2 linked regions of the Sus scrofa genome follow. The protein of the gene in region 1 interacts with the protein of each later gene in a biochemical or structural test. Links are inferred from orthologs where the notes say so. Each region holds a gene or a part of one and is shown in the gene's direction. Other genes may lie near its edges. The genes, in order: MC4R and POMC.

Region 1 (16,392 bases):
GAGTCACCTTGTGCCAAAGTTGACATCTGGCAGATCCTGCTAGCCAGCTGCTGGGGCTCCAGGAGAAGGGCTTCTGTCTCATTTATGTTTTCCAAATCTCTTGAGAATATATTTAATTGGGAAAATATAACTCACAGACAGAATTCAGACAGCAAGGGAATCTGGGCAAGGTAGATTTTAGCTTTCTGAGCTCCAAACTGAAGGAAGTTGAAATGGAGACTGAGAGAGCCAGTCAACGTGCCTACCAGATTAATGGCACCAATATCCACACATTCACCCAGGCAAAAAAATGGAGGGCATTGAGAATTCCTTTCTTTTCCTCATTCCATTCATGACTGATTGGTAGTCTTATCCATAGCAGAACAACTATTGGTTTACCTCTGGTCTTCACATACTCTTCTTTGGGCTGCTGTAATAGTATCTTAGTAATTATCTAATAGTATCGTAAATTCTTACCTTTACCCTGTATAATTCCATGCTGTGTTTTCCTAAATCTTATCATGTTATCCCTTTAAAGAGTCTTGAAGCTCTTTATCCTGCAGGTAATGTGGGCCTCATTCAAAGTTTTTAAATGTCCTTAACAGAGTCCAAGGAAGTGAAGTTCTGATCCTCAGCTTGACATGGAAAGCCCAAGATGACCTGCCCCTTCCTACTATCTCCAGACTTCTCTATGCCTCACCCTTGTGGGCTCCAGCCATGCCAAAGTATTTGTCATTCCTCAAATTTGAAATATCATTTAATACAATCTGATTTTGCAGAAGTTATTCCATCTACCTTAAAATCTAGCCCTCCTCACTGCTCTCATCCAGCTATATCCTATCTTCTTCCAATTCCCTTCTCAACAAAACTGTCCAGTAAACAAGTTAAGGCCAACCCAAGCAGAGATTATTTCTACTAATTGCTATTATTACATCACTGATGACAAAGTGTAGGAATTATTATCTTGCAGTTTAGTCCCCTCATTTAGATTATATCTACACTGAAGTTCCTCAATGGCAGAGCACGACTTATTTGCTTCTATTCCTGAAGTAGAGTAGGTGCTCAGTAAAATACTAGTTAATAGAAGGATTAAAATAAGAAAGGAAAATTAAGTAACCAGGAAGGGATTTAAGATAAAGCCATCAAAATCATATACAGGCTATTATTATAAGCCAAATGAGAATGATTTTTTTAAAGAAAAAAATTATAATATTTTGAAATAAATTCCTATTTCACAGTATAAATTTTATAAAGATAATATTTTAATAATACTTTATTAGGATTCAAAGTATTTTAATGAAAGTTATTATGCTTAGTGTTACCTAATTTTGAAAAATTTGAAAACAAATGAATGCTATACCAAAATTAATGCAATAGAGAACATGTTTTCTATTAAAAATAATTATGAACACAGATTTCAATCTAAAAATGTTTATAGTCCTCGCAACATTATTTAGAGAACTTTTAAAATATATCATAACGAATATTACTTGGCCGTTAGAAGGAATGAAAGAATGTCATTTGCAGCAACATGGATGGATCTAGAGATTATCATACTAAGTGAAGTAAATCAGAGAGAAAAAGATAGATATCATATAATATCACTTAAATATTGAATCTAAAAACTGACACGAATGAACCTATTTATAAAACAGAAATAGACTCACAGATTTAGAAAGCAAATTTATGGTTACCTAAGGGGAAGGAAGTGGACAAATAAATTAGGAATTGGGAATTAACAGATACACACTATTATGTATAAAATAAGTAAACAGGGATCTACTGTATAGCACAGGAAACTATATTCAAGACCTTGTAATAACCTATAATGGAAAAGAATCTGAAAAAATATATATAAACATATAACTAAATTAATTTGCTATACATCTGAAACTAACACAATGGTATAAATCAACTACACTTCAATAAAAATAATAAAATATATGATAAATATCCTAATCTAAAATGAAAAATCATTTTTATTTTATGACAGACAATAAAATGCTTACATTAACACATGATTACATAATCACTAATAATCTACAAGAATTAGACACGAGATACATTTTTATAAATAAGGATTCTATTTCATGTTGCACACAATAATCATGGAACACTTTTAAATTAGTAAGAATTTTGTAGTCAGAATAATTTACTACATGAATGTTTCCCAAACTATATGTTCCAAATCATATTACCTTTAGTTCTTCTGTAATGTGACATTTTATAGTCCGAAAAATCAGCATCTACATGAAATCATGCAACCCAAGAACTAGGGTTTAGAGGGGTTACACAAAAAACACTCATGAACTTCATCAGTGACATTAAAAAAGGAAAGGAACCTAATGAAAACAATAGGAAAGGACTTCCTCTCATGGCTCAGCAGAAACAAATCTGACTAGTAACCATGAATACACAGGTTCAATCCCTGGCCTTGCTCAGTGGGTCAAGGGTCCGGTGTTGCTGTGAGCTGTGGTGTAGGTCACAGATGCAGCTTGGATCTGGCGTTGCTGTGGCTGTGGCTGTGGCTGTGGCTGTGGCTAGCAGCTACAGCTCCAATTTGACCCCTAGACTGGGAGCCTCCATATGCCTTGGGCATGGCCCTTTTTAGACAAAAAAAAAAAAAAAAAAAAAAAAAAAAAAACACCACAATAGGATACAATTACACATGTTTAATAGTTAAAAATACATAAACCAGAAAAAAAGAAAACCATAACCTACAACAAATATGGCACTGTACCTAGAAAAAGACTTGCATGCAGTTTGCTTAAGAAAGTGAGTTTTAGCAGAGTTATAGCTGTGAGTCATTATAAAATGATAAAGGAAAGCGTGCCTAAAATCTCACAAGATGTTATAACACCAAATTGCTGTGCATCATAACACATGCCATGGACTGAGGTAGCTGGTAAATGTTCAATGTGTGTGTCTTGTATCTTGGATCAGCTGGGTATAGGTTTCCACATTCACATAGTGTTTATCCAGTACAAAACTATATAACAACAAACACAATATTTGCATTGTGCTCAAAATGTTTTCTGATATCTCAATCAAGTTAGGAACAAATTTGCATTTTCAAAACGATTGTTACAGCAGAATTGAGTGTAATAAGTACTTGAAAAATAAGTGAGATAAAACAGGTTCTATGTGTAGAAAATAAGTGTATTAAGTAATATCGAAATTTTTTTCTAGTAAGAAATTTCAGAAACTTTACATGCTAATGTAAACTCTGAAACTCTAGGAAGGCAATGAGTTTGCAATGTTTTCCAGAATTCTTTGACCTTTTATTCTGTGGTGGGAATAACATTTACATCTCCTAAAAACAATATTCTGTGTAGTATAGTTTGATAAATACTCCTCTTGAACAATAGTTCATATTTATTATTATAAAATGTAAAATAAGGATTATTCTCATAAGAAAAATATATTCTGATCTAACTCAGTTTTGTGTGTACTTAGAAAAAAGAAATCTGCAATAAATTTTTAAAAATACCATTAATTTGTCTGGCACTGCTGATTGTATTTCTTCTGGCTCCTATAGAACTAACCTATGCCAGACAATTAAAATTCCTCCTTGGAGATGACAAAATGTTGTCTTTTCAGCATGATTAACCATATTAATCAAGGTATAAATCTATAGCAAATAATTAAACTTTACATTTTAAATGTATATGGTTTTCTATGATTTAACTATGATCATACTATCTGTAAATGAAATACCTTATTTTTTTTTTTTTGGTGAAAAGCCAAAAGAAAAGAATTTTGTTTTCAAATACTAATTTTATCTATTACATAATTATATGAACTATAATATTTTCCACATAACGATGATTATGCTTTCACAAATATAGGGAAAGAGTATTCTGAGCAGAGGGAATAAACTCATAAGAAAATGTCTAGTGTGCATGCAATCATGCATGCAAGTTTGATTGCAAGGAAGTTTCCATGATGGAGAATAGTAAGGAGAGAGTTTGCTAAGAAGAAAAAGAGGAGTCAGACCCACTGGTAGAATCAAAGGTATTTCACAAGTGACTTCATGTAGGAATTTTTGAGAAAGATGGACAAGGCAAAGATACTCTAAATTTTAAGCCTAAGAAAATGGAACAAGGAGTTCCCAACCTGGCACAGCGGAAACGAATCCGACTAGGAACCATGAGGTTATGGGTTCAATCCCTGGCCTCACTCAGTGGGTTAAGGATTCGGCACTGCCATGAGCTGCAGGGTAGGTCACAGACACGGCTCGGATCTGGAATTGCTGTGGCTGTGGCATAGGCTGGCAGGTACAGCTCCAATTAGACCCCTAGCCTGGGAACCTCCATATGCTGCGGGTACGGCCCTCAAAAGACAAAAGATTTAAAAAAAAAAAGAAGAAGAAAAGAAAATGGAACAATTATGGCACCAAGAGAAGTACAGAGCACAAAGTAAAAGCTGGACTCGAGGAGGAAGTCATACAGAGTTGACTTAATTCAACAAATTTCTTCCCTACTATGTACTTACTAGGTATTTCACCCCTCACACAAACCCAAAATGGGGGAAAGATAGGATTTTCATGTAATTTGAGTTTGCTGCTTATAAAAAGCTCCCTTAAAACATTTCAAAGTTAAGGTAATTAATGTTAGCTGCTATGACAGGTAAACACCAATATTTCAGCAGCTTAATGCAGCAATATTTATTGCTTGCCTGGATCACAGTTCAATGTCCTTGATAAGCTGGGGTATGTGCTTTGCGTAGTTATTCAGAGGCTCAGGCTCTTTCCATGACATAGTTCTGACGTCTACAACATGAAGTTTCAAAGGCATTCTACAGTCATCTGCCAAGAGACTGGAGGAAAAACTTGGGGAACCTCATGAAGGGGAGAACAATAGTCTCACCTCTACCCACATTCCATTAACTAGAATTTAGTGCCAGCCAATTCCAGGGAGAGATGGAAGACATTAATTTAACTCAATACTCAGGAATAATACTTAATATTGCTTCTGTCACAAAAGGGAAAGAAGATAAAGCCCTTACTTAAATAATTGGGTAATTAAAATTAATTTTGAAATAATTCTTTCTTATTTTTCCTTTTATCAGTAGCCACAAATGACAACGGAGCTAAAAAACCAAAAATAGTCACAGAAGAGGAAAAAAAACTACATAAAATTTCATAACCTGGAGTTTAGTCAACTTGAAAACTATCAGAGCTCCCATTGTGGTTTGGGGGGTTAAGGACCTGATGTTGTCTGTGAGGATATGGGTGTTTTGGGTTCAATCCCTGGCCCATCTCAGTGGGTTATGGATCTGGCATTAACACAGCAGCTCTGATTCAACCCCAGGCCTGGGAAGTTCCATATGCTGCAAGTGCAGTCATAAAAAGAAAAAAAAAAGTATATTTTCATAATCTTTCAAACTTAGCTTTAGCAAAACATTCGGAAACTCTGATATATAACTAGAATCCTCTCATCTTAATAAGTACAGTTGCCAAGGTATGTGTGAATTTAATCTAGAAAACCTTCAACTAATGAAGTAGATAGGTTACATTTAAAAAAAAAAAAACAAAAAAGAATTCCAAAATCTCCACATCCTAGCAAACACTTATCTTTTTTTTTTTTTTTTTTTTGATAATAGTTATCCAAACAGGGGTGGGTTGATATCTCATTGTGGTTTTGATCTTTTCTTCCCCTGTTGATTAGTGTGTGGAGCACCTTTTCACACATCTGGTGGGGCCATTTGTATGTCTTCTTTGAAGAAATGTCTACTCAAGCCATTTGCCTATTTTTAAATTGAATTATTTAGTTTTTTATTATTTGGTTGCATATTGTGCATATTAACCACTTACCAGATAGACGGTTTACAAGAATTTTCTCCCATTCTGTAGATCACCTTTTCATTCTGTTGCCTGTTTGCTGTTCAGAAGCTTTTTTGTTTGATGTAATCCCACTTGTCTATATTTTGGTTTTGTTGCTTGTAATTTTGGTGCTAATTCCAGGAAATCATTGTCAAGACTACCGTCAAGGAATTGTTGCCCAATGAGTATGAAGTTTCAGTTATGCAAGATGAGTAAGTTCTATAGATCTGCTGTACAAATGCCTATTATTAATAATACAGTATTGGGCACTTTAAAATATGTTGTGGAAACACCGATCTCAAGTTAAGTGTTATTCTATCTCACACACACACACACACACACACACACACACACACACACACACAAAACCCCACAAAAATACAGGGAAATTTTTGGAGGTGATGAATAAATATGCTTAGTACCTTGATTGTGATGCATTATGAATATATGCATGTGTTCAGAATCATTAAAATGTATGTCTTACATATGGCCATTTTTTGTATACCCAATTATCCTTAAATGCTTCCTTATTCAATTATTCTTTAATGCTTAAAAAAAAATCTGAGTATCGCCTAGTTATTGATCCTTTTCTGAGTTCAGAGTAAACACAGTTTACATTAATTCTAAATAGTTTTTTTTTGTTTTGTTTTGTACACATAGATGGCATATGGAAATTCACCAGCCAGGGACTGAATCCAAGCTGCAGCTGTGGCGAAGGTCACAATGGCTCCTTAACCCACTGCCAGAGTAGGAATCCCAAATTCTAAATAGTTTCCAAATATTGTAAATGAAAATAAAATTTTTTCCAGTTACAGTAAAAGAGATTCTGCAATGCAGAAATAGCAGGTATTAGTGCATAAGAAACAAACTCCTTCTTGAGCCCTCTGATAAACTATAGCTACCTACTTAGTCTTCCATCTATAACATAGTCTCTTGTATTATTAAATATTCTCCCCATATTTCAACTACTTTAAATGGGAGCATGACTTCCTTTGCTCTAAATTCAAAGAAACTGAGGGGTAAATAATTCAATAGCCTGGCCAAAAAGGCAGTGTGTATCTATTTCAGGACACACACACACATCTCCTTTTAAGTAGTAATAAACCTGGGTGCCTCAAAAAAGGGCTTGTTGTGATATAAAAGAATGTCCTCTAGAAACCAAGCTGTTTTCCTTGAAAACTTGAAAAGGGAAATTCAGTGTATCACAGCCTGCTTGTGCCTCCTGATTCTACACGCTTCTGCATCTGAATCAGCGCTGCCCAGCAGTTTGTATCTCTGGAACATAATCGGTGTCTCACAGACTCCCCAGGACTTGGATTGGTCAGAAAGAAGCAGAGGAGGAGCCACTGTGCACATTTTTTTTTCCCCTTCACACACCATAAAAATCACAGAGGCAACTAACACTCACAGCAAAGCTTCAGGTTGGGAACTGATTCTCTCTGCGAGGCAGCTGATCTGAGCATGCGCACACAGATTCATTCTTCTCCCAATAGCACAGCAGCCGCTAGGAAAATTATTTTGAAAAGACCTGAATGCATTAAGACTAAAGTTAAAGTGGAAGTGAGAACAAAATATCAAACAGCAGACTCGACAGAGAATGAGCGTCTTGAAGCCTAAGATTTCAAAGTGATGCTAATCAGAGCCCTACCTGAAAGAGACTAAAAACTCCATTTCAAGCTTCGGAGCATGTGATATTTATTCACAACAGGCATTCCAATTTCAGCCTCATAACTTTCAGACAGATAAAGACTTGGAGAAAATCGCTGAGGCTACCTGACCCAGGAGCTTAAATCAGGTCAGAGGGGATCTCAACCCACCTGGCGCAGGATGAACTCAACCCATCACCATGGAATGCATACTTCTCTCCACTTCTGGAACCGCAGCACCTACGGACTGCACAGCAATGCCAGTGAGCCCCTTGGAAAAGGCTACTCTGAAGGAGGATGCTACGAGCAACTTTTTGTCTCTCCTGAGGTGTTTGTGACTCTGGGTGTCATAAGCCTGTTGGAGAACATTCTGGTGATTGTGGCCATAGCCAAGAACAAGAATCTGCATTCACCCATGTACTTTTTCATCTGTAGCCTGGCTGTGGCTGATATGCTGGTGAGCGTTTCCAATGGGTCAGAAACCATTGTCATCACCCTATTAAACAGCACGGACACGGACGCACAGAGTTTCACAGTGAATATTGATAATGTCATTGACTCAGTGATCTGTAGCTCCTTACTCGCCTCAATTTGCAGCCTGCTTTCGATTGCAGTGGACAGGTATTTTACTATCTTTTATGCTCTCCAGTACCATAACATTATGACAGTTAAGCGGGTTGGAATCATCATCAGTTGTATCTGGGCAGTCTGCACGGTGTCGGGTGTTTTGTTCATCATTTACTCAGATAGCAGTGCTGTTATTATCTGCCTCATAACCGTGTTCTTCACCATGCTGGCTCTCATGGCTTCTCTCTATGTCCACATGTTCCTCATGGCCAGACTCCACATTAAGAGGATCGCCGTCCTCCCAGGCACTGGCACCATCCGCCAAGGTGCCAACATGAAGGGGGCAATTACCCTGACCATCTTGATTGGGGTCTTTGTGGTCTGCTGGGCCCCCTTCTTCCTCCACTTAATATTCTATATCTCCTGCCCCCAGAATCCATACTGTGTGTGCTTCATGTCTCACTTTAATTTGTATCTCATCCTGATCATGTGTAATTCCATCATCGATCCCCTGATTTATGCACTCCGGAGCCAAGAACTGAGGAAAACCTTCAAAGAGATCATCTGTTGCTATCCCCTGGGTGGCCTCTGTGATTTGTCTAGCAGATATTAAATGGGGACAGAGGAGACTTATAAATGCAAGCATAAGAGACTTTCTCCTTACACAGTCTGGACAATATGCTTCAACAACAGCATTTTCTTGTAAGGCATCAGTTGAGACATTCTATTGTATAAATTTAAGTTCGTGATTCTGCTCAGTCTCTGTGTATTTTTAAGGTCTTGCTACCTTTTGGCTGTAAAATGTTTATCTATACTACAGGTTATAGGCACAATGGATTTATAAAAAAGAAAAAAGTCCTTATGAAAAGTTAATTAATGTATCTTGTCATTCGAAAGGATTTGACACATTGCTTGTTTTAGTAAAATGGAAATCACAGTTTCATTAAATATATCCTAATAAATGGTTGCTAATATTACACTATACAACGCTGAAGTGTAGAGGTTTGATTCTAGCATTGAGGGGAGAAATACTGAAACAAGTGTTTAATCATTAAAAAATAAGCTGAAATTTCAACTAATTTAATAAAACATGCTCATTCTCCCTGTGCAGAAGGAGAAATGAAGCTTCTACTGGGAGAAAAACAGTTACTAAAAAAAAGTGGGGGGATATTTTGAGTTTGAAAACTATGTTTCTCAAAGACAGAGATATTAGTTTGCCCAAGCAAACTGTCTGATATTCCACACAGGCAACTGTTTGGGAGAGAAAAATAGCAGCTATGGGTACTGAAGTGTTCTGGGAAACCTAAGAGCATGGCAAGCTAAACTCATATCAAACTATTCTAACCACCCCCTAATAAAAACAAAGGTCTTTCTGCCCCTTTAACCAGGGACCCAGAGTCTGCTAAAATGTCCAGAAAAGGTGGTGCTACACTGGAGTCTTTCTCTTTATTTTTTAAAATTTTATTGGAATATATTTGACTTACAAAGTTGTATTAATTTCAGACATATAACAAAGTCAATCAGTTATACATATATTCACTGGCTCCTACTTTCTAAAAACAACCTACAAAATCAGTATTGAATTCTTTCACTTTTCACATGGAAGTGACTTGCTATAGTCTTATTGCTTATTTTCTGAACAGAAGTTGAAATACTCATTATCAAGGATTTTAGCTTTTAAAATTAAATCTATCGCACAGGTATTTTCAGGCAATATTTGTAAGATATGTAAAATAAGGGAACTTCTGATGCTGGTACATGACAAGCAGGAAGAAAGGTATTGCCCAAACCCCAGAGGACGACATGACACAAATTAGCCTTCCACAAGCATACTTTAGTGAGTAAACATTTGTTTTGCTCCAAATTGGCTACTGAGCAATACAACCTGTACTTTTCAACTTGCATGTACTTTAAGAGAGAAAATATATTAGGCTGAGGATTACCAGTAAACCATCCTTTGATTTAATTTATAGTGTCCTCAAATCCTCATGGTCTGAGATAAAGTGCAAAGGTATTTCTTAATTCAAATCTAAATGCTTTACATATATTGACAGCCAGTCGAGAGTAACACTTTCAGCATTTATGTGGGAAGATTACTTGAAAATGTAATGGTGAAGTTAAAGTTTACACAAGAAAGGTCGTACTGAAGCTTGATTACCGCAATTCCTCTATTTTACACTAAGTGTGAGGATTTAAATAAAGACTAAAATAACAGAACCCAAAGTTGTAGCAGGACGTAAAAAGTGTTTTTGTCTTTGTTACTATTCCTTTCCATTCTTTTATGTAGTAACTTGAGGAATCCCGGCGACTGGGGATACAGAAGAGAAGATGAGCATTTTCCGTGGGGTCACCCTTTCCAGTCCATTCTATTTCTCCATCCAGGGTCATTTCAGATGCTGCTTAGAACCAGCCCAGTTCTCCCACAGAAAGGAAATCAGCCTCCCTCACCTTGACTTTCACAACTCCTCCAAGAGCAGTTCACAGAGATGGGATGAGTGTTAGTCATGAACCTGAGTTCCCTGCCACCCTCCCCTATCTGCCCAGGGCACAGTATAAGGCTTCAGTTTCTTTAAGGGCTAAAACCATATCTTACGCATTTTTTCCTGTTCTCCAAACAATCTTCTATTATGTTACTTCCTCTTTCTCTGGTAAAACCAAGATTCTGCCATCATCATCACCCAAAGTACACAGTCTACATTAGACTTCATGCCTAGGTTGTTGCACATTCTATGCATTTTAGCAAACGTAGAATGTCATGTATTACAGCACCATACAGAAGGGTTTCACTGCTTTAAAAATCCTCTCTGCTCCACTTATTCATCCCTCTTTCTTTCCTAACCCCTGGCAACTAGTAACCTTTTATTGCCTCCATAGTTTTGCCTTTTCCAGAATGTCCTATACTTGGAATCATATAGTATATAACCTTCTCAGATTGGCCTCTTTCACCTGGTAATATGCGTGTAAGTTTCCTTCACATTTTTTATGGCTTGGTAGCTCATTTCTTTTTAGTCCTGAATAATATTTCATTGTATGGATGTAACAGTGTATTTATCTATGTAGCTACTGGAGAATATCCTGGTTGCTTCCAAAGTTTGGCAATTATGAATAAAAAATTATGAATAAACATTTGTGTGTGGACATAAGTTTTTAATTTATATCAAGGAGCAGGGCAGCTTTTAAAAACTTCAGTATAAGTACTGCGACACATGTGTCTATTCTTTAATATTGGTTAGTTAGCATATACATTATGCTGGTCTGGTCTATGTATTTCAAAAGTATCTGGTAAGAAGCATCAGATAACTTTATTGAAATTTTCACCAGAAAGTCCAATTAAAGTATATCAGAAATGGCTTTTCACTGGTGAAATGAGTGATTTTCAAGACTTACTGTTGACTTAGTTGTACAGCAATCACCATAACTCATATGAACAAGGTTTGCATTTTGCATTTCTGCCCACTCAGCAGCTAGCATGACACTTAGACTCTATAAGTCCCAAACTCCAGAGAGTCTCCACCTGCTTCAAAAAAATCTCTGTTGGGAGTTCCTACTGTGGCTTAGTGGTTAACAAACCTGACTACTATCCATGAGGATAGAGGTTCAATTCCTGGCCTCACTCAGTGAGTTAAGGATCCAGCATTGCTGTGAACTGTGGTGTAGGCCAGCAGCTGCAGCTCTGATTCACCTCCTAGTCTGGGAACTTCCATTTGCCACATGTGTGGCCCTAAAAAGAAAAAAAAGTTTCTATTGCCCAAACTAAATATTTTGAAATTACTAAAACACTTCTAAATAATTACTTGATAACATGTAAATAAGTATCAACTTCTGGCTTATATTATAAGGAATATAAAAACAAGAATATTTAATATGTTACCAACTATCTAAAGAAAGTACCCCTAACCTACTTATATTTCTCCTACATTTCACTTTGAATAATTCACAAAAAATCAGTAGTCATCATTTCTGGGTAATAATATTAAGGGGCATGTCTACTTTCCCTATTGAGTGTGTTTCTATTATATAAATTTACTGCAATGAACATGTTTAAGGTTTCTTTTTTTTTCATTTTTTAAAAAGCACACACAAGCATTACAATAGAAGATGGCTGATGGAAATGTAATTGCCAAATTACCAATGATTTGTGGAGCAAGAGTTAGTTTCAAACAAGAGCAGATCTTAGGTATCATCTCATCCAACACTCAGAGATACTGTCTAATGTCACGTGTGAAATCAGTGGCAGCATCAAAACCTGAAACCCCAGTTCTTGACTCCCATTAAGGTTTCCCTGTACCAAATTTTATTAGCCTTCTTCCATAAACAAGCATGGTTTTCTCAGTCATATAGACCTATGACTGAGTTATGGGTACACCAATTTTATCTGTGAGATTTTGTTGAAGTTAGTTTTCTTATTGTTAAATATGCATGACAATCTCTGCCTGATGTTAATCTTCAAGGGACAAAAGACGATGATAATATCAAAGATGAAAGTTCAACAAAACAGTGCCCAATCCACATAGGTGCTCAATAATAACTATTGGTATTTATAAGAATAAAATTAAATGAATAAAACCATGCATGAATGAAGACTAATTTTGCTGTTACTCAACATTATTAATAAATATATATAGGGTTTAGTTGTGTATTGTTTCTTAAACTACATTTAATAGTTTCCTTGACTTTGACAGAAGTTTTTGTATAAATGGATATATTTAAACAGAGTAGATCCACAGGCATACCTGTATTATATTTTTTTTTCTTTTAGGACTACACGCCATGGCATATGGAGGTTCTCAAGCTAGGGGTCCAATTGGAGCTATGGCTGCCAGCTATGCCACAGCCATAGCAACACGGAATCCAAGATGCGTCTGCGACCTACACCACATCTCGAGGCAACGCCAGATCCTTAACTCACTGAGAGAGGCCAGGGATCGAACCTGCAATCTCATGATTCCTAGTTGGATTCATTTCCACTGCGCCACGATGGGAACTCCAGGATACCTTTATTCTAAGAGGGTAACTTTTTATCACCAATTGTGCTAATTGTTTTAAAATTTTCAATGCCACATTCAATACTGGAAAAGCCTACTTAGATAACATGCAAACATAAAAAATCCACTCACTTCTTCAAAGATTGATACTCATTAAACTTTATGCCATCAATTTGTGGTGGTACAACAATAATGTTATTTAAGTTGATGTTGCTGATATTAAAGGTAAATTCTTGAGGAGTTCTTTCATGGCACAGCTGATTAAGTTTCTATCATTATCACTGTTTGGGTCACTGCTGTGGACTTGGTTCAGTCTACATCCTGGGAACTTCCACATGCCATGGGCACAGAAAAAAAAAAAAAAAGGTAAGCCCTTGAAAAAGAACCATAAATGATTTATAGTCACATCTTGATGCTCACCTATTAGTTCATCATGTATTGATCAAAGCCCTATGTGCTTGATTAAAGGGTTTGGAGTTTGGACCAGGGGAATATTGAGTTCAAATTTCGGGGAGTTTGCATTGGGGCTCAGCAGTAACAAACCCAACTAGTATCCATGAGGATGTGGGTTCCATCCCTGGCCTCACTGAGTGGGTTAAGGATCCAGCATGAGCTGTGGTGTAGGTCACTGATGCAGCTTGGATCCTGCCATTTCTGTGGCTGTGGTATACTCCAGTGGCTGCAGCTCCAATTCAACCCTAGCCTGGGAACTTTCATATGCCACATGTGCAGCTCTAAAAAGCAAAAGAAAAAAGAAAAAAAAATCTCAGATTTACCAGCTCTAGAACTTTGGGCAAATTTCCCAAGCACCTATAATCTAATCTTTGAAATAAAGATATTCACAATCTAATCATATATTGAATGATAAAGTTTAGATAATATAAAATTCCTAGTAGATTGAAAGGATCTAGTCCTATATATAATGCTTGTCACTATAGATATCTATGACTTTAATGATCTGTCAAATTGTGCTCAAAAGGTTATCGGAGCATAGACCCTAGAAGAAGTTACATGGTGATACTCTCTTGGCTACCCTCACTTCCCTAGCATGGAGAGACAGGAATCCATTTCAATCTGTTTTTACTACTATGTTTATTATTTTAAGTGTAAAGAATTTTTTCTTTTTACAGCTGTACCTGTGGCATACAGAAGTTCCCAGGCTAGGGGTCTAATTGGAGCTGCAGCTGCAGTCTATGCCACAGCAACACCAGATCCAAGTTGCATCTGCAAACAACACTGCAGCTTGTGGCAATGCCTAATCCTTAACCTACTGAGGGAGGCCCGCATGCTCACAAAGACAATGTCTGGTCCTTAGCTTGCTGAGTCACAAGGGGAACGCCAAGAAATTTTGAACACTCCAAAATAATTCAAGGGAGGTAGTAGGTGGAATTGGGTAGGTAGACACAGAGTGTTTCGATGGCTTCAGTAATGTTCTAGCTCTTCTATTGAATAATGGGTTTTATGCATAATTTAATATTATGCTTCACAATTTAGAAATAAATACTTTTTTATATATGCAGTATTACATGAATCTTAAATGAATATAATGCATTTATTTTGCAATGTGCTTACTGAGAAGGAAATGCAAAACTATATTTGCACAGAATAAAATCACAGGATTCCTAGCACAATTTAATGCTCCACTTTGGAGGGAAAGATAAAAGTTTTGATCTATGATAGTCATGGCTGAATTGGGCCCTGGGTTAATGAAATTAGTAATCATAGTTTACAATTATTAATAGTGTTTTCACTGCCTAAAGACATCTGGAAGCCCCTCAAATACAGAGCCAAGTGGAAAATTTCAGTAGTTCAATCAGTGAACCATTCAATGATGTTTTGTATGAGACTCAGCTGCAAATGACACTATCGAAGTCTGATTTCAAACCTAGCATTTGAAACAGTGTGAGAAATTTCACTTTTAAATTCAAACCATCACTGAATATAATTTAAAAGTAAAAATATAACAATAAATTTGTTTATAATTCCGCTTGAGCAGAAAAAAACACGTTAAAATTTTCTCTGTGAAAAGTTCAACTTCTCAATTTAAATGTATTTTATTTGTAATACTAAAATTGCAAAATGGCCTCATTAAAAACAACATATGTGGATTTTTCTATAAATCTCATAATATCTTGGAGATTTCACTTAAAAGAACATGTAATATCCATATTCTTACTGAGTTCTTTCATGAAGAAAGAAAGAAGACTTGAGAGTAATTCTTATTGTGATTTTGTTTACTAAGGATGATTTGTGAAATGTTGAAAATTGTGCTCTGTTATAATTTGTACCTATTAGCTACATAGCTGTCGGCTACTTCACTGTCAATATTGGAAAGAAAATCTATACATTTTCACCTCTGCCCTATCTCTAATCTTCCTCTTTAAGCTGTCACATCTCTTTTCCATATAGATGTCTTATTTTCAGCTAAAACTCAATGTGGCTGAAACAAAAGCATTCATTGATACAAATCTGACTTTTTTTTACTCTCTTTATATTTTCATCATTTCATCATTCTCTTGGGAACAGAAAAGTTCAGTCACATTGTGCTTTCATGCCAAGAACAAATGAAATAAGTGAGATTTTGAAAAAAGATGAGATGTGTGAAGCCTGACACAAATGGCTGGGCCTTCCTGTATGTACAATGGAGTGGGATGGAGAGAAAGTTGACTTCTGTGGATTTATAATTCGTATTGGGCAAAATAAGAAGAAAAGGACATCACTGATTTGGGTTTGGTGGGCTTTTTTTTTTTTTTTTTTTTTTTTTTGAGAAACCTGCATAAAAACTAGGCTCAGGGAAGTCTAATTGAAATATAGTTGATTTATAATATATTAGTTTCAGGTTACAGCAAAGTGATTTATTTATATATAAATATATATCTATATTCATTTTTAGATTCTTTTCAATTATAGGTTATTACAAGATATTGAATATATTTCCCTGTGCTGTATAGTAGGTCCTTGTTTATTTTATATACAGTAATGTGTATATATTAATGGCAAACTCCTAATTTATCCTTCCCCACCCTTTCCCTTTTGGTAACCATAAAGTTGTTTTCTACGTCTCTGGATCTATTTCTGTTTTGTATATAAAGTACATTTGTATCATTTTTTTTAGATTCCACATACAAGCAATATCATATGATATATGTTTTTCTCTGTCTGACTTACTTCACACAGTATGATAATCTCCAGATCATACAAATGGCATTGTTTCATTCTTTTTATGGCTAATATTTCATTGAAAGATATACATATAAATTTGACAGTCATGAACTTGTGTAGAGATAGTGAAAGATAAAAATATGAGTGATCCCTCAATATGTCCTGCAGTCTGCAATTCCTGCTGCCTTTGTCTCCTAACCTCATTCCCATGGAGCCTTCATCCTCATCG
Region 2 (16,531 bases), on another chromosome or scaffold:
ATGGCAGCCGTATGGGCTGCTGCCGTCATTTCCTTCATTTCCCAGATGGGACCACTAGAACAGAGAAGCTGGGAGTTTGCTCAGAGTCACACAGCACGGGAATGAATGAGCAGGGTAGGACTAGGCTGTGTGGCTCCAGATCTGTGCTCTTACCTGTGACACCACGTGGTGCCAGCATGCAGCCAGGACAGCCTCAGACTGGGGTGTGTCCACGACTCCCTCCTGCATGCTGATGCCACTGCTTTAGTATTTCATGAACCTGCCTGTCGCCTCTCCCGCCTCACTGCTCCCACCAGGCCTCTGGCCCCGGAGCAGGGCATTGGGCTTCTGATCTCCCCCTGCTGCCCCCAGGCTCTGAGCATCCCCACTGCCACAGAAATCTGCTCCTATGGCTCCTCTGATTCAGTCCCTAAGTGGTCCCCACCTCCGCTCTTGCCTCTGACTCTAGTCTTCTCTGTCTCCCTCTACCCCTGCACCAGCTTCCCGGGAACGTAAGGTTTTTCCTGCTTGAGTCCTTTGCACGTGCTGTTCCTTCTGCCTGGAATGACTTTCCTCTCTTCATCCTGGTGACCTAACGCAGCATCCCCTTCTCTGGGAAGCCCTTGCTGGCCATCCACCTCCTCTACCTGGCAGAGAAAATCACCTCCAGATGCGTGCTTGGAAGGCCTGAGCCTATGGTGAGAAGTCTAGCTCCCCCAAGGCTGTGGGCTGAAGAGGTCACGGGGCAAGGCTGCACAGAAATAGAAGTACCTGAGGAGCCCCAGCTCTCCCTGCTTCCAGCTGAGTCTTCCAGCCCGGGAACAAGTTATGGGAGTGAGCAGCTTGAGATAATTTGCAGAAGCCAGGCTTTGAGCTGCCTAGGCTGATGCCAGGTAGAGCAGAGGTATGTTGGCCTTACCAAACCTTGCTCATACTGCAGATTCGTGAGCAAAATAAACATCAGTGTTTAGAACAACAAAGTTTTCAAGTTCTTGCTGTGGTGCAGGGGGTTAATCTGATTGCAGCAGCTCAGGTTGCTGCAGAGGTGTGGGTTCAATTCCCAGCCTGGCATCGTGGGTTAAAGGATCCAGTGTCACCTGTTAGTCATGCTTTGGTATCTTTTAATCTGTTTTTTTTTTTTTTTTTTTTTTTTTTTTGCTTTCTAGGCTTGCACCCGTGGCATATGGAGGTTCCCAGGCTAGGGGTTGAATCATAGCTATGGCTGCTGGCCTATGCCACAGCCATAGCAATGTGGGATCCAAGCTGCATCTGTGACCTACACCACAGCTCACAGCAATGCTGGATCCTTAACCCACTGAGCAAGGTCAGGGATCGAACCGGCAACCTCATGGTTACTAGTCAGATTTGTTTCCACTGCACCACAGCGGGAACTCCTCTTTTTTCCTGTTTCTATCTCCATCCATGTTTACAGTCATCCCTCTGTATTCTCAGGAGATGGGTTCCAGGACCCACCAAGGTCACTAAAATCTGCAGATACTCAAGTCCCACAGTCAGCCCACTCTCCCCGCAGCCCCACACCCGTGGTCTCACCGTGGTCATGTAGCACGGTAGTACGAATTCATTGAAAAAAAAATCCAAGTATAAGTGGAGCCATGCAGTTCGAGGTTCAACTCTGTGTCTATATTTTATCGCATTTCCTTCCCTTCATAACATGCAGTGGTCATTTCTCATGTCTGGAAATAAACATCTACATTATTTTGAATGGTTGCAAAGTATTTCGTTGCAGAGTTTTACCATAATTTTGTAAGTATAGTATACGGTTTTAATAATTACACCCTAGATATTTAGTTTATTTCCATTTTATTGCTACTATAAACAATGTTGTATGAATAGTCTTGAACAGCATTTAGGGTAACTATAGATATTTCCTCAGGAAATTCTGGGTTAAAAGGTAAAGGCTTTGGCACAGAGAGATTTCACTCATCTTCCCATGGCTTTTCCTACAAGTCTCCTCTGTCTGTAACCCCTTCTTTCTTGGAAGAGGAAGGCTCTCTATTCTTTGGAAACTAGGTTATTCCTCTGGACCCCATCTCATTTCTACTGAAGTCCTGGATTATTTGGCTTTTCCCACTCTCACTGGCAGCATCAATTTCCACTTCCCATCACCATGCAACTATGCTCTAGTACCTTGCTGCTGTCTTTATCCCCGATCCTATATTGTGCTCCACCTCTGGCCCACATTCTCCATTAGATCTCTATAAAGAGTTGTTTTCTTTTCTTTTTTTTTTTTTTTTTACACCAGGACCGAAGGGAGAAGTAGCTGAATCCACAAAATTAAAGGGGAAATTTAAACGACATAATGTATTAGTAACCAATAGAATAGGATAATGATCAGAAAGGATATAGCTGGGAGTTCCCGTCGTGGCGCAGTGGTTCACGAATCCGATTAGGAACCGTGAGGTTGCGGGTTCGGTCCCTGCCCTTGCTCAGTGGGTTAAGGATCCGGCGTTGCGGTGAGCTGTGGTGTAGGTTGCAGACGCGGCTCGGATCCTGCGTTGCTGTGGCTCTGGCGTAGGCCGATGGCTACAGCTCCAATTCAACCCCTAGCCTGGGAACCTCCATGTGCCGCGGGAGCGGCCCAAGAAATAGCAACAACAACAACAACAAAAAGACAAAAGACAAAAGACCAAAAAAAAAAAAAAAAAAAAAGAAAGAAAGGCTATAGCTATAGAAAGGATATGGAATACTTGAGCAATCATGGAATACATATTCTTGTGATGTTTACATGAAACATTAATCATGTGTTCATCCATTAAGCAACATTCCCCACCCCCAATTTCAAAGGACTAAAATGAAACAAAGTATGTTCTTTGGCTGCAGAGGAATTACGCTAAATTTTAATTTCAAAACAGAACTAGAAAATCCCCAATGGTTGGAAGTTAAACCGAACGCTTCTCTACAACCCACAGGTCAATGAAGACATCTCCATGAAAATAAGATATTTTGAACAAATGGTAATAGAAATAGGACATGTCAAAACTTGTGAGATGCAGAGTTACCACTGTGATGCAATGGGATCAGCAATGTCTCTGCACACCAGGACAGGGTTCGATCCTGGGTCAGGCAGAGTGGGTTAAAGGATCTGGCATTGTTGCAGCTGTGGCATAGGTTACAACTATGGCTCAGAGCTGATCTCTGTCCTGGGTAATTCATATGCTGTCAAACAAAAACAAAAACAAAAATTTGTGAGATGCAACTAGAACCATACTTAGAAAGAAATTTATAGCCATAAATACACATCAAAAAGAATAAAGATTATCAATTGAATATCAGTTATCTAAGTAAAAAGCATTTATTTAAGATTCAACTCAAGAGAACAGGAAAACAAAAGAGCTAATTAGAAATTAGAAGACAAGAAATAATAAGAGTAGAAATTTCAGTGATAGAACAAGATGTACATGCAATGGAGAAAAGTCAACAAAGTCAAAATTTATTCTTTAAAAATACTAATAAATTTGTTAATCCCCTAAGAAAATTAATCAAGAAAAAAGAGAGGGGACATAAACTACCAATATCAGAGATAAAAGAGGACCATAACTACAGATTCCATAGATATTAAGATAAGAAAATATAAGAAACAAAGTTAAGCAAATAAATTTTAAAAATTAAGTGAAATGGACAAATACCTAGAAATACACATCTTTCTAAAACTGACACAAGAAGAAATAGACAATTGGAATAATGCTATTTAAATAATTGAATCTGTATTTTAAAATCATTTAACAAAGACTTAGCATCACTAACAAATCATCTCAAACATTTAAAGAAGAGATTAACACCATTGGACACAAATTCTTCTATTAAATTGTAAAAATTAGGGGTGGGCGGAGGGCTGTCCAACTTGTTTTATGAAAACAGCAAAATTTTGACACCAAAATCTAACAGGAACTCTACAAAAAAGGGAAAATTACAGGCTGGCCTCATAAACATGAATGCAGAAATGTTAAATAAATTATTAGCAAAATGAACCCAATGCTGTAAGCACATCATAATCAAGCTGGGCTCAATCCAGGAATGCATGGTATGTGTAACACCAAAAGTCGACAATGTCATTCACCATGTTACCAGAATAAAGGGGAAAGTCATGTTATCATCTCAATCAGAGGCAGCTACTGCAGGCTTTCGAAGAGGAGGTGGTGATGCCGTGAAATAGTGGTCAGTCCTTTCTAGTGACGTCAGCCAAAGTGGGAATGACAACCTCCCATCCTGGGGATAGAAGTGACACCTATGTCAAATGGCTGTGGTTTTGACAGTGTGACTTTGGCCTCTCGTTCCCAGCAGTGTGATTTCTTTCTCATTGGATCCAATCAGTAGCCATGATTCCAGTCACTTTTCTTCTCTGCCCAATTTTGGATCCTGATCGCCCAGCCTTCCCAGTGATTCTAAATGTGATTCAATGGCCTTTCAGTTCATATCAGCCAAAGGTGGTTCTGCTGCATGTAATTAAGAACTCAACTTAGGGAGTTCCCGTCGTGGCGCAGTGGTTAACGAATCCGACTAGGAACCATGAGGTTGCGGGTTCGGTCCCTGCCCTTGCTCAGTGGGTTAACGATCCGGTGTTGCCGCAAGCTGTGGTGTAGGTTGCAGACGCGGATCCCGCGTTGCTGTGGCTCTGGCGTAGGCCGGTGGCTACAGCTCCGATTCAACCCCTAGCCTGGGAATCTCCATATGCTGTGGGAGCGGCCCAAGAAATAGCAACAACAACAACAGACAAAAGACAAAAAAAAAGACAAAAAAAAAAAAAAGAACTCAACTTAAAGAGGACAGAGGCTGGGTCAGTCTGAACTTTTCCTGGTTTGGCTTTTCTGCTGTCATCAGTTGCTTTTTAAAGTTATAAAAATAGGCGTTCTCTTGTGGCACAGTGGGTTAACGATCCAGCATTGTCATTGCAGTGGCTTGGGTCATGGTTGTGGCATGGGTTCAACCCCTGGCCCAGGAACTTATGCAGGCCACAGGTGTGGTGAAAAACAAACAATAAACAAAAAGTTATAAAAATAACACAGAGAAAAGTGAGATAAAATCGAAATCCGATAGAGAGGGCTCCTAAGACTGGTAGTGGAAGGGGCAGGAGGGGGTGGAAGAGGGAAGACAGAAGACAGAGTGGAATTTGTTCCAGCTGTGAGGGTTATATGACCAGATGAGATGGGAATGGGGTTCTCCGGGAAACAGAGACGGCCATGTCTCATGCCCTGGTAGGACAAGTGACCAAGGAGGGCATCAGGGAACAGGTGGTGGATGAGCTAAATCTTTTTTTTTTTTTTTTTTTTTTTTTTTTAGGGTCGCACCGGCCGCATATGGAAGTTCCCATACTAGGGGAAGCATCAGAGCTACAGCTGCTGACCTATGCCACAGCAACTCAGGATCCAAGCTGCATCTTCGACCTACACCACAGCTCATAGCAATGCCTGATCCTTAACCCCCTGAGCGAAGCCAGGGATCGAACCCTCATCCTCATGAGTACTCGTTGGATCATTTCTGCTGCATCATGCCGGGAACTCCAGATGAGCTAAACCTTAATGCAAAAGTCTAATTTTCCCAGGTGGCTGGAAGGAGGAAAGGTGTTTTAGTGGAGGGACCAGTGTGGCCAAATAGACGGAGGTGCGAGAAAATAGTGTTCAGGGGGATGTAAACGCTGTGGTCGGTCGACGTGCCAGGATACAAGAAGGGGTGGCAGCTCTTTGGGAAGAGGCCAAGGCCAGGTAGCAAAGTACCTTATTTACTGTTAAGGAGCTCAAATCTCTCCTGTGCCTCAAAAGGAAAGGGTTGCTGATTATAAAGCCACTGTCACCAACCAGAACTTCTCAAGGGGGTCTTGGCAGCCAAAAGAGCATCTGATTGGGAATAAAGGAAGTTCCTGCAAAGGACATATTAAACAAGCATCTTGATATGAAGTCCAGTTTCGTTCCCAAACTCCCTCCCACCCCTACCCCTCATCCCTCACAATTTGCTTTGGCTTCTTTTCTCCAGGCTGAGACTCTTCCATTGAGTGTTGGAGAGCATTCTTTTCACCCTGGCCTGACAATTGGGGCTGGAGCCAAGCTAGAATGCCAAGACCAGATCTGGGGAAGACGGAGAGTCCTCAGACCACTCTGCCAGCTCTTTGGCACAGGAAGGGATCAGAGGCCAAAGGGAAGGTACTTCAGCTGCTTTTCACAGAGAATTCCCTCCTTCCCCCATGCTAGGGTTAGCCGTATTTCTTCCTTAGGGTTTAGGGCACAGGAAGGAGCCTGCCTGGACTTGGCCCTTGCAGAGGAGGCCCCAGCCGGGCAGTGCAACTGGCTTTCACACCCCAAGAAGGCAACCTGACCTGGCTTCAGGTGAGCAACTCCCGACCTTCTCCAGGAGCCAGGGTTGCGGGGTGGGGTTGGGGGGGGGCTCAATCTGTAACAGAGGGATTATGACATTTTCCTGACATTTTCACATCACAGGTTCCTAACGTTGGGGGGAAATCTGAGGCATTGCAGGTGTTCTTTCTTAGTTCTTGATTTACCACCAAATGAGAAGGAGGTAGATGCCAGCTCAAGCACGTTGTGGACACAGGTAACTTCAGCCTCTCTTCAACGACCTCAGCAAGCTCCCTAGGCCTGCCCCACACTGGGGTGCTAAGCCTCCCATTTGTCCTACCTGGAGACCCAAACCATCCTTAATTAAGTTCTTTCCTGAAGGCTGCCAGGTGTGCCCTTCAGCAGAACAGTGTTAATTCCAGCCTCCGGGAGCAGAGATCCAGCCCCCTTTCCGGGCACTTCTGCTCTGGCGCTTAGCCCCTACCTGGAACCCCCCCTCCTGCGTCCCACGGCCCCCCTTCCTATGGATGGGGGAGTTGCCTGTTACGCGGCCGCTGCCGGGAAGTTCAATCACTTCCAGCGCCCACCTGGTGGAGCCCCGCAAGTATATAAGGACCGAGCAGAGACAGCGGGACAAGGCAGCGAGAGGGAAGAGAAAGAGGGGAAGAAGAGTGACCAAGAGACCGCCGAGTTTCCTGCCTCGGCGCAGCGGGAGTCGCCCCGAGAGCAGCCTCCCCGCGACAGGTAAGGGCGCAGCGGCGCGGCATCTGCTCCTCTCCCCGGACCCTCTACCCTGGCCCTCCGGATGCTTTCGCCCAGCTTCGATCTCAGACTAGAGGCGCCTTTGGCTCGCCGCGATCCTGAGTTCTTTGAAAAGTTTCTGTCCTGGGTGCGGTGTGGGAAGCTGCTGGCAGCGGAGATGCGAGAGCCAGCTTCTGGACGGTGGGAGAGCAGCTGCAAGGCTGACAGTGGTGCCTTCCAGGAGCCGGGGCTGCGTCTCCTCCCGGGAGGGGAGCTGCTTGGACCCTTGAGATTCCTACTGCATTCTGAGGAGATCTTGGGAGACCTAGTCTTTCAGGTCTTCTTCTGGGTAGATGTCACTGAAAATATATCCTATCCTCTAGAGTAAATTAACATTGGCGATGGGGGCAGAAGAGACTAGACTAAAAGTCACAATAGACTCCTTGCAGTCCAGACTTTTTGGATTCAGATCTCTGAATCCTCCTTTCCCTGCCTACTTTAGTGCACCTGAGATGGCTGCGCTATGATACTGACAAGGTCTCTACAAGACCAGTTGGTGTTAAAAAGAGGTGGCGAAGATGGGAACTGTCCACGGTCCTGAACCACCCCATCTCTGCCCGCAATAGGACTGCAGAGTGGACCTTCTACCCCGCAGATCTCAGATTGCAGGGCAGAAGTGGCAATAGGAACAGAAGGAGGCTCAGGCCAGGTGGGTTCCCAGCGAGGGAGAAAGAGTCTGCAGGGTATCTGGATCCCCCAAATTCTTCGTGTATAAACAGGGAGATGGTGATTCTCACAGAATAACTGGAAGGAGCCAAGGGAAACGAATGTGTGCATTTGTTTGGTCCATTGTTAAGATACAGACAGATTGTAGCCTGTTTAATGACTTAATGTTCCTTTGACATTTTGTTTTAGGGCTTGATGCATGTGTATCGTGGTACAAGGACAAAACTCTACACCTCGGCTCCTCTAATCTTTTTTTTTTTTTCCTTTTAAATCGGAGTATAGTTGCTTTACGGTGTTGTGTTAGTTTCAGGTGTAGGGAAAAGTGATTCAGTTATACACATACATATATTCATTCTTTTTCAGATTCTTTCCTTACATAGTTTATTACAGAATATCGAATAGAGTTCTCTGTGTAGATCATTTGTTTGCGCTTCTTAATCTCTATAGAAGGGCATGGGCCATGTGCAATTTTAGAGTAACAAACAAAAGGTTTTTGGCTCAGAGAGAATTCATCAACACATACAAAGTTCTTATAAGTATAGTTCTATTTTAAAGTTAATGTTAAGATGAGCAAAATACAAATTTCTAGTTATTTTTCCAAGCTTTCAATTATTGGATGCTACCTATCTACAAAAGTAATTTGCCATCTCCACACTAATTTATTGCTTTAAAAAAATGACACAAGGTCATATTTGGTTATTGTAGAAAAAATAGAAAATGCACATAAGCAGAAAGAATACAAAATGCTTTCAGGAAGCTATCTAACTTTTTAGAAGGAGGCTGCAGGATCCTCTACCTCTCAGGGGAGTAGTGAGAATGTCATAGCCAGCGGGGCTCTGGGGCTTTTTGGGAAGGCCTGAAATCACGAGGTAGCTTTCTTAGAAAATGGAAATCATTCCAGAATGGCCAGTGCTCTGAGAAATGAAATATAGTTGAGGGGACTGTCCAACCTGTATGATTTTCCTACTTTCTCTACCAATACATTATTTTGCACTTGCCCATAGTGATATATAAAACAACCATTTATCTGCTTTGCTTGTAAATCTGAGTATTTTTTACTGACTGAAATGTGCTGCGTGTTCTCAGAGCTTTAATCCAAATTGCTTTGTCCACAAAGTTCAGTACTCGAACTGGGGCACCAAAAATCTGCAACAGGAGCAGACTGTCCCTGGTCACAACTGGACACCAAGGTTGACCAATGTTCTCCCAGTTGCCCATCAGCCTGAGATGCTAAGGGACTGGCTCACTGGCTGCCAGCACCATCTAATGGCTGCTCCGAAAACACTCAGGCAGCACTTGGCAACCATTCAGAAGGGAGCCCTTCAGGCTCAGCGTTTGGGGAAAGGAGTGGGGTGGGACAGAGAGAAGGGAGTGGCTTCCAGAAATAGGCAATGAGAGCCAGGGAGAACTTTCACTTCCAAAGCCACCCCTGTAAAAAATATTTGGCCCATGCCTCCCCAAAGATGAGATTTCTTTAGGCAGCTATTATGAATCAGGAGGGACAATACATCATCCATAACTGACTGTGAATCACTTTTCTTATCTAATTAGTTTCTTCCTAACAGCTGGTGGAAAAATCTTCTGAAATCCAAAATGATTTTGGGGTTGTTCTAAGATAACAACAGAACTCCAGGTCATTTCAGAGGGGTGAACTTTGTGAGGTGGGACATGTCAGTGTGAGAGCTAGAAGGCTAGGGAAAGCGTTGGGCACAGGGGCAAAGGGAAGCATCAATTCTCCCCTCTTCATTGCATCCTGACCTCTTGAGTTCAGCCTCTGCCCAGAGGTACTTCCTGACTCCTCTGAGAAATTGTCTTTGTAGGGGTTACAGTGGAAGGTAGTTCCCTTCTGCTCTGAGCCGCCATCATGTTCCCTTTCACATCTACAGCATCTTCAAGTCCACCGTTTCAGACTACATTTGAGAGACTCCGAGAACAAGAGGAGGTGTGACATGTAATATGTTCAAGAGATGAGCTGATTTTAAAAGAAGGGGGTCTCTTTTAAAAAGAAATCTCTTCAAGGATACAGGGTCTGAGAAATAGTGATCTCCTGAGTGATCGGTGTCTAGGACATTCAATTGGATTGGCTTGGGTTTTGGCTACATTGGCCAGAGGCTTTGCTCTTTTGCAAACTTCCTATTCATGGGAAATGGGGTTTCTGAGCAATGATAGAATCCTGGCAGAGGAGGAGTAGACCATTTTGAGCAGGAGTTTCAGAATTCTTTGTCTTTCCCAAATTAATCTTTGGACCTGGAGCGACAGAACTCTAGCTTCCAGAAGATGGTGAAATAGAAAAGCTTGGTGCTGGAAACAGAACCTTAGCCTTGCCTCATCATGAACCCCCAAGTCATACATTGTCTCTCTCTGGACCTCAGTTTCCTCATCTCTCAAATAAGAGGCCAGGCCAAATAACCCCGAAAATAGCTTCCAGCCCTAATAGCCTTTGGAGTCTGATTTTCAATAGGAGGTAAAGGGGAAATTTTGCCTAGTTCACCCAGGTCCCACTGTTCTCATCTCTGCCACAACTCACACGACCACCCTGCACACCAACCTGCTCCTTGGGCAGCTCCTGTCCTCAAAAACCCTTGAGCTCCAGAGGTAGTGTATTGTTAATGTTGGCTCGCAGTCCTTCCTGATCAGTGGCCAACATTGTTCTGCTCCTTGCAGGGGTCCCACTAATCTTGTTTGCCTCTGCAGAGCCTCAGCCTGCCTGGAAGATGCCGAGATTGTGCAGCAGTCGCTCGGGGGCCCTGCTGCTGGCCTTGCTGCTTCAGGCCTCCATGGAAGTGCGTGGCTGGTGCCTGGAAAGCAGCCAGTGTCAGGACCTCTCCACGGAAAGTAACTTGCTGGTATGTGGGCCATGGCTGCCATCTTGGTTTGGGTATCAGATGGGACTGGGACTGGGGCTGGGGCTGGGACAGCACAAAGAAAGGTGAATGGGGAGTTCCCGTCATGGTGCAGTGGAAACGAATTTGACTAGGAACCATGAGATTTCAGGTCCAATCCCTGGCCTCACTCAGTGGGTTAAGGATCCGGCGTTGCCGTGAGCTGTGGTGTAGGTCGAAGATGTGGCTTGGATCCCTGCGTTGTGGTGGTTGTGGCACAGGCTGGCAGCTATAGCTCCAATTTGATCCCTAGCCTGGGACCCTCCATATGCCTCGGGTGTGGCCCTAAAAAGACAAAAAAAGAAAGAGAAAGGTGAATGGGGAAGGGAGATAGGTCTAGTCCCCAATTTCTGCTTATCTTTACTTCCTGCCCTCTCTTCTTATGGAGACCCACTTCATTTAAGCTACGTAGAGATAGTGCCATTAAAATAAATAATACTAACAACAATAATTGCTCCTCAACTGATTCTACATTTTCAATATTTTAACCCCCCAAATTATCCCTTTTTAATAACCTCCTATCACTTGCCATTTTCATTCCATTTTTCATCCTTCTTTATCTACTATCAGTTACAAAGCCGGCTACGTAGTACAACAAACCATCTCTAGAAGGAGAAGAAAAGGCCTGGGTGCCATTTTCTTCTAACTGGAGCCAAATGTCCCATGCTTCTGATGGAGGGCTGACCTCCTCAGCCTTTTCAGAAGCATATAGAGGCCCTTTATGCCAGCCTGGAACTCCCTCCAGGTCACCACAGTGTATGTGTGTGTTTGTATTGGAAGGCATAAATGAGAAATAATACCAAGTCAAGGCTAAAAGATATGCTGTGTTTGTGACCAAGTTCTCACCTGCCTGGTGAGCATGGGATGCTCATCACAACATTCTGTGTATTTTGTCAGTAGAGAAGCTGAGTTTAAGTGAAGAGAGAGACTTTTCAAAAACAGAGCAGGTTGCGTATGGAGTATAAAATAGAAACAAAGAGCCCAGAGAGTTTTGTGAGCTCTAGTTCAGAGAGACCCAAGAGACTCTTGATTGGAGACACCCATTGCACAGCCTCTCCTGTTGAGGGCTCACCAGGGAAGGAGCACTGGCCATGGTCAGAGTCCATGGGTTCTAGTCCCACTTCTGCCACCAATGGGCTATGGAACCTTGCCAAGTTCCTTTCTCCTCTCTGAGCCTCCTGTTTCCTTATGTGTCCAGGGGAGAGACGTATAGATAATTTTTGTTTTCCACTGTTAATATTCTGCAGTGTTACAATTCTCAAACCCTTGACTATGAAATTCCCAGCTCAACACTGGGTGGGATCCTTCTGTTTCCTCCCTAGTTGTCCTGAGTAACTGAAAAGGCTATAGCCTAGAGGTCGTTTTCCTGAGCAAAGATGTACCAGAGTTGAGATGTCTACTAACAGGGAGCAGAGACACAGGCTCCACGACCTCTGCACTGGAAATTATCCTGACTTCCCACCTTTTCCTCCAGTCAGAAGGAGGTGACAGGGAAGGGAGCCACCTCCTCCCAAAGGTCACTGGTTGGGCAAAGTACAGAATTAGCTCAGAAAACTTGAAAGAACCAGAGAAAGTGCCAGACAGGTGCGGGCAGGTTTGGAGGGAGATGGCTCAGGTAGGGCACGAGGTAGGTTTGCAGACCCCCCGGGGTAACTTTGAGGCGTTACTGAAAATACAGCCCTAGAAGCCAGACTTCTGCTTCTCCCACCAGGGATGATTCTCCCCTGAATTTCAACCCAATGGCCTTCCCAGACTCGAATGAATCATGTTTATTTATTCAGTATCCACTAAGTGCCAACAACTACCACCCACCTGCCATTTATTAATGAATTCCTAGATATCTGATATATAATGTTTAAGACGCTGATCCTGCCCATAAAAGCTACAGGAAAAGTAAAACACCGAGCGGGCCGGGGATTTTGTCGGAGCTGCCAGGCAGAGGTACCGGCGTCCAGGGACAAAAGAGGCTGTGCTCAAGTCGAGACTCAGACGTCTGTGGGTGCCCAGAGGCGGGGGCAGGCAGACGTCCTGGGGCTGGGAGCCGATCTCGCACCCGCGCGTGCTGAAGGGACGGAAGGAGAGGGCAGTGGGGCGCCGGGTCCTGATTTGCCCACCGCTCTCCCGCAGGCGTGCATCCGGGCCTGCAAACCAGATCTCTCTGCGGAGACGCCCGTGTTTCCCGGCAACGGCGACGCGCAACCGCTGACCGAGAACCCCCGGAAGTACGTCATGGGCCACTTCCGCTGGGACCGCTTCGGCCGCCGGAATGGCAGCAGCAGCGGCGGCGGTGGCGGTGGCGGCGGCGCGGGCCAGAAGCGCGAGGAGGAGGAGGTGGCGGCGGGCGAAGGCCCCGGGCCCCGCGGAGATGGCGTCGCGCCGGGCCCGCGCCAGGACAAGCGCTCCTACTCCATGGAGCACTTCCGCTGGGGCAAGCCCGTGGGCAAGAAGCGGCGCCCGGTGAAGGTGTATCCCAACGGCGCCGAGGACGAGTTGGCCGAGGCCTTCCCCCTCGAGTTCAGGAGGGAGCTGGCCGGGGCGCCCCCCGAGCCGGCACGGGACCCCGAGGCCCCGGCCGAGGGCGCGGCCGCCCGGGCCGAGCTGGAGTACGGGCTGGTGGCCGAGGCCGAGGCGGCCGAGAAGAAGGACGAAGGGCCCTATAAGATGGAGCACTTCCGCTGGGGCAGCCCGCCCAAGGACAAGCGCTACGGCGGCTTCATGACCTCCGAGAAGAGCCAGACGCCCCTGGTCACGCTGTTCAAAAACGCCATCGTCAAGAACGCCCACAAGAAGGGCCAGTGAGGGTCAGGGGGCAGGCGCCTCTCACCCCGGAAGCCGACCCCAAAGCCCCCTCTCCTTGCCTGCCCTCCTGCCGCCTCCAGCCCGGGTACGCTCAGGCTGTGTGGGCGCCAGATATCCCGCCTCTTACCTGTAGTTAGGAAATAAAACCTTTCAAGTTTCACATCCGACTCTGACTTTGAGTATTGACTGGGTGAATAAAATACAAGTACATATCCATCAAATAAAGAGCTGCACGTATTGAAGGAGAGAGTGGTTTCCATGGGACCGGGTAGTAGTGGTATGTTTCATAGGACACAGTGGGAATGAAAAGAAAAGGTTCTTCCCTCCCTGCCCCAGTAAAAGTGTCTTTGAGGGTCAAAGAGTTTGGCTGATGCTCTGGGTGGCGGCATTTCCCGCTCTCCATTGGCTGGGAAAAGACTGCTTAGCTAGCTGTACCCAAAGGCAGGGTTTCTCCAAGCGACTCTGGCTTCCATCCACCTCCCAGAGCCACCATGAGGCTGATGATGCCCAACGGAACCTGGGAGGGCTCTCTGAGCTCTGAGATGGGAAGCTGTCCTAATGCCTCCCTGGATCTAGTTATTGTGGGACCTTAGCTAAATCTCTGAACTTCTCCAAGATTTGGTTCTCTCAGCTATTCTTCCTTCCTACCATGAGGGCTATTGTAAGGATGAATGAGAAATGGATAAGATCTTTTTTTTTCCCTCTTTGTCTTTTTATGGCCATGCCTATGGCACATGGAAGTTCCCAGGCTAGGGGTCTAACCAGAGCTGCAGTTGCTAGCCTACGCCACAGCCGCCACACCACCAGATCTGAGCTGCATCTGTGAACTACGCCGCACCTTGGGGCAACGCCAGATCCTTAACCCACTGAGTGAGGCCAGGGATCGAACCCACATACTCACGGACATGGTTCTTAACCTGCTGAGCCACAGCAGGAACTCCAGGATCATCTTATCACTGAGGCTAAGTGTGAGAGCTGAGGGTTGGTATCAGTTTAGATGTGACTGCCCTCCCAGGCTACTCACAGACACTCTCAAACACAGGGTCTAACCCGCATAGACACCCACCTGTGGAGACACATCTGTATAAATACAACACAATGTGTATGGATGTTTCCTCTAGTCCCTAGGGCTCAAGACCTAGAGCTCTATCTTCCCCCCCTTGTCATGGCCAAGCTCTTTCCTCCTCAGGTTGCGCTGTCACTGTCTTCATTCTCCCTGCTGCCCACTCCGGCCTCGACTATCCTAACAGCTCCTAACCAACTGGTCTCCCTGTCTCCAGCTGCCCTCCACCCCAGCCCATCACACAAGATCTTTATTCTAATGTATACAGAAGCTTGCTTTCTCCCCATTCCTTGGCTCAAGACACAAGAAAATTGCCCACCCCCACTTTTCCACCAATTCCAAACTACTGGGCATGGCACACACAAGGGACCTTGTCTGTCAGGTTCACTCTCTTTACCAAACCCCGCTTCCCTGGTCTTCTCGCTCTTCCTCTCCCAGCAGCTTCCACCCTCTGCCTGGAATTCCTGGCCTTCCCCCTCTCCATTTTGAACCTTGCTCTTTTTTTCAAGAGCCCAGGCTCAAGTCCACTTCCACTGGGAAGTTTGGGACCTCATGAGCCAAGCCCGCTCATTTTCAGGGTTTCTGCAGTCAATCCCTCTGCACCAGAGGGCATGTATGTCTTCATGGTACAGCAGGTTAAGGATCCAGCATTGTCACTGCAGGGGCTTAAGTCACTGCTTTGGTGAGAGTTCGGTCCCTGGCCTGGGAACTTCCATAAGCCACGGCCATAGACCAAAAAAATAAAAATAAATAAGACAGACCTTTTCTTTTTCTTTTTGTTTCTTGAGGGCTGCACCCATGATATGGAGGTTCCCAGGCTAGGGGTCCAATCGGAGCTGTAGCTGCCAGCCTACACCACAGCCAGAGCAACACGGGATCCAAGCTGCGTCTGTGACCTACACCACAGCTCACAGCAAAGCCAGATCCTTAACCCACTGAGCGAGGCCAGGGATCGAACCCGCATCCTCATGCCTCATGAATACTGGTCAGGTTCATCAACCAAGGAGCCACGATGGGAACCCCGAAAGCCAGACTTTTAAGATAGAAAATTGTGTCCAATGCGGGTTGTATGAAATGGGGCTAGAGTCTAGTCCCTACAGTGAAGAAATGACACAGGCCCTCCCATCTGAGGGCGCTCCCAGGGTCTCTCATCCGCCTTCCTTTTGAGGCGAGTAAAGGAACGGTAGGTGGGGGTGGCTAAGTGTCAGTGGTTAATGCCGGGGGGGGGGGGGGGTATCGCGGATCCTGTTTGCCTCTCAAAAAACCATTTACTTTAAAGAAATCAAATAGATAACTGTGTGGTGACAACATTAACATTTATTTGAAAAGGGCATTGTGACCGCTCCTGGGGAAATCACTACTAACAGTCCTAAAGAAGAATCTTGCTAAGAATCCTTCTCCCCACGCTTTCCCCCACACCCCCCTTTCCCTTTCTTTGAAATTAAACTGATTTGGTTCAATGAGTTCCAAATACAGAAAACTGCCACAGGCACTACTTCTGCACTCACAAATAAATACGTCAGCTTATATATACATACATTGTCAACTATGCACTACATTGTACACACATGCACACCCACGGGGATACACGCGCTCAGCCAGGTCGTGAAGGTCTCAGTGGACACAGACGTGTTACAATGTACGTGTAATGCTGCAGCATTGGTGGATCGACAGCTCTGCACCCACAGGCCAGAATCCACAGCCACAGAGGAAGAGCTCGGAAGGGCAAGGTGAGGGGCTGGGACCCCAAGGTCCTTTGAAGGAGAAAAGACCCGGGCAACCTGGCCGGTGCTAAAGGAGAGCACAGAAAACTTTCTTCTGGTCCCACAAGGCCACAGAGCCCTCCCACAGGCCTCTGTCCCCTCCCCACTTCCCCAGCTGTCAGCTCCCCGCCACCGTCCTTCTGCAGGCTTCAGACCTAAGCCAGATATGGGATAAGAGCTCCTCTAACTAGAAGAGTTCTAGAGTTAGTGAGATGGAGAAGTAATGCACTGCCCTAAGCCTTCTCCCCAGATGCATGGAAGATGCCTCATTTC

Evidence for each region.
Region 2: the proteins of MC4R (region 1) and POMC form a complex in vitro, tested with the Homo sapiens proteins (2 studies listed by BioGRID). The link is inferred for Sus scrofa from reciprocal best matches to the Homo sapiens genes MC4R and POMC.

What each region holds. Positions count from the first base shown.
Region 1 is NC_010443.5:160,764,916-160,781,307, forward strand, and holds MC4R (melanocortin receptor 4), read left to right. Parts: upstream 1-7,097; 5' UTR 7,098-7,630; coding exon 7,631-8,629; 3' UTR 8,630-9,209; downstream 9,210-16,392.
Region 2 is NC_010445.4:113,654,960-113,671,490, forward strand, and holds POMC (pro-opiomelanocortin), read left to right. Parts: upstream 1-6,752; 5' UTR 6,753-6,811; coding exon 6,812-7,028; intron 7,029-10,445; coding exon 10,446-10,597; intron 10,598-12,760; coding exon 12,761-13,432; 3' UTR 13,433-13,599; downstream 13,600-16,531.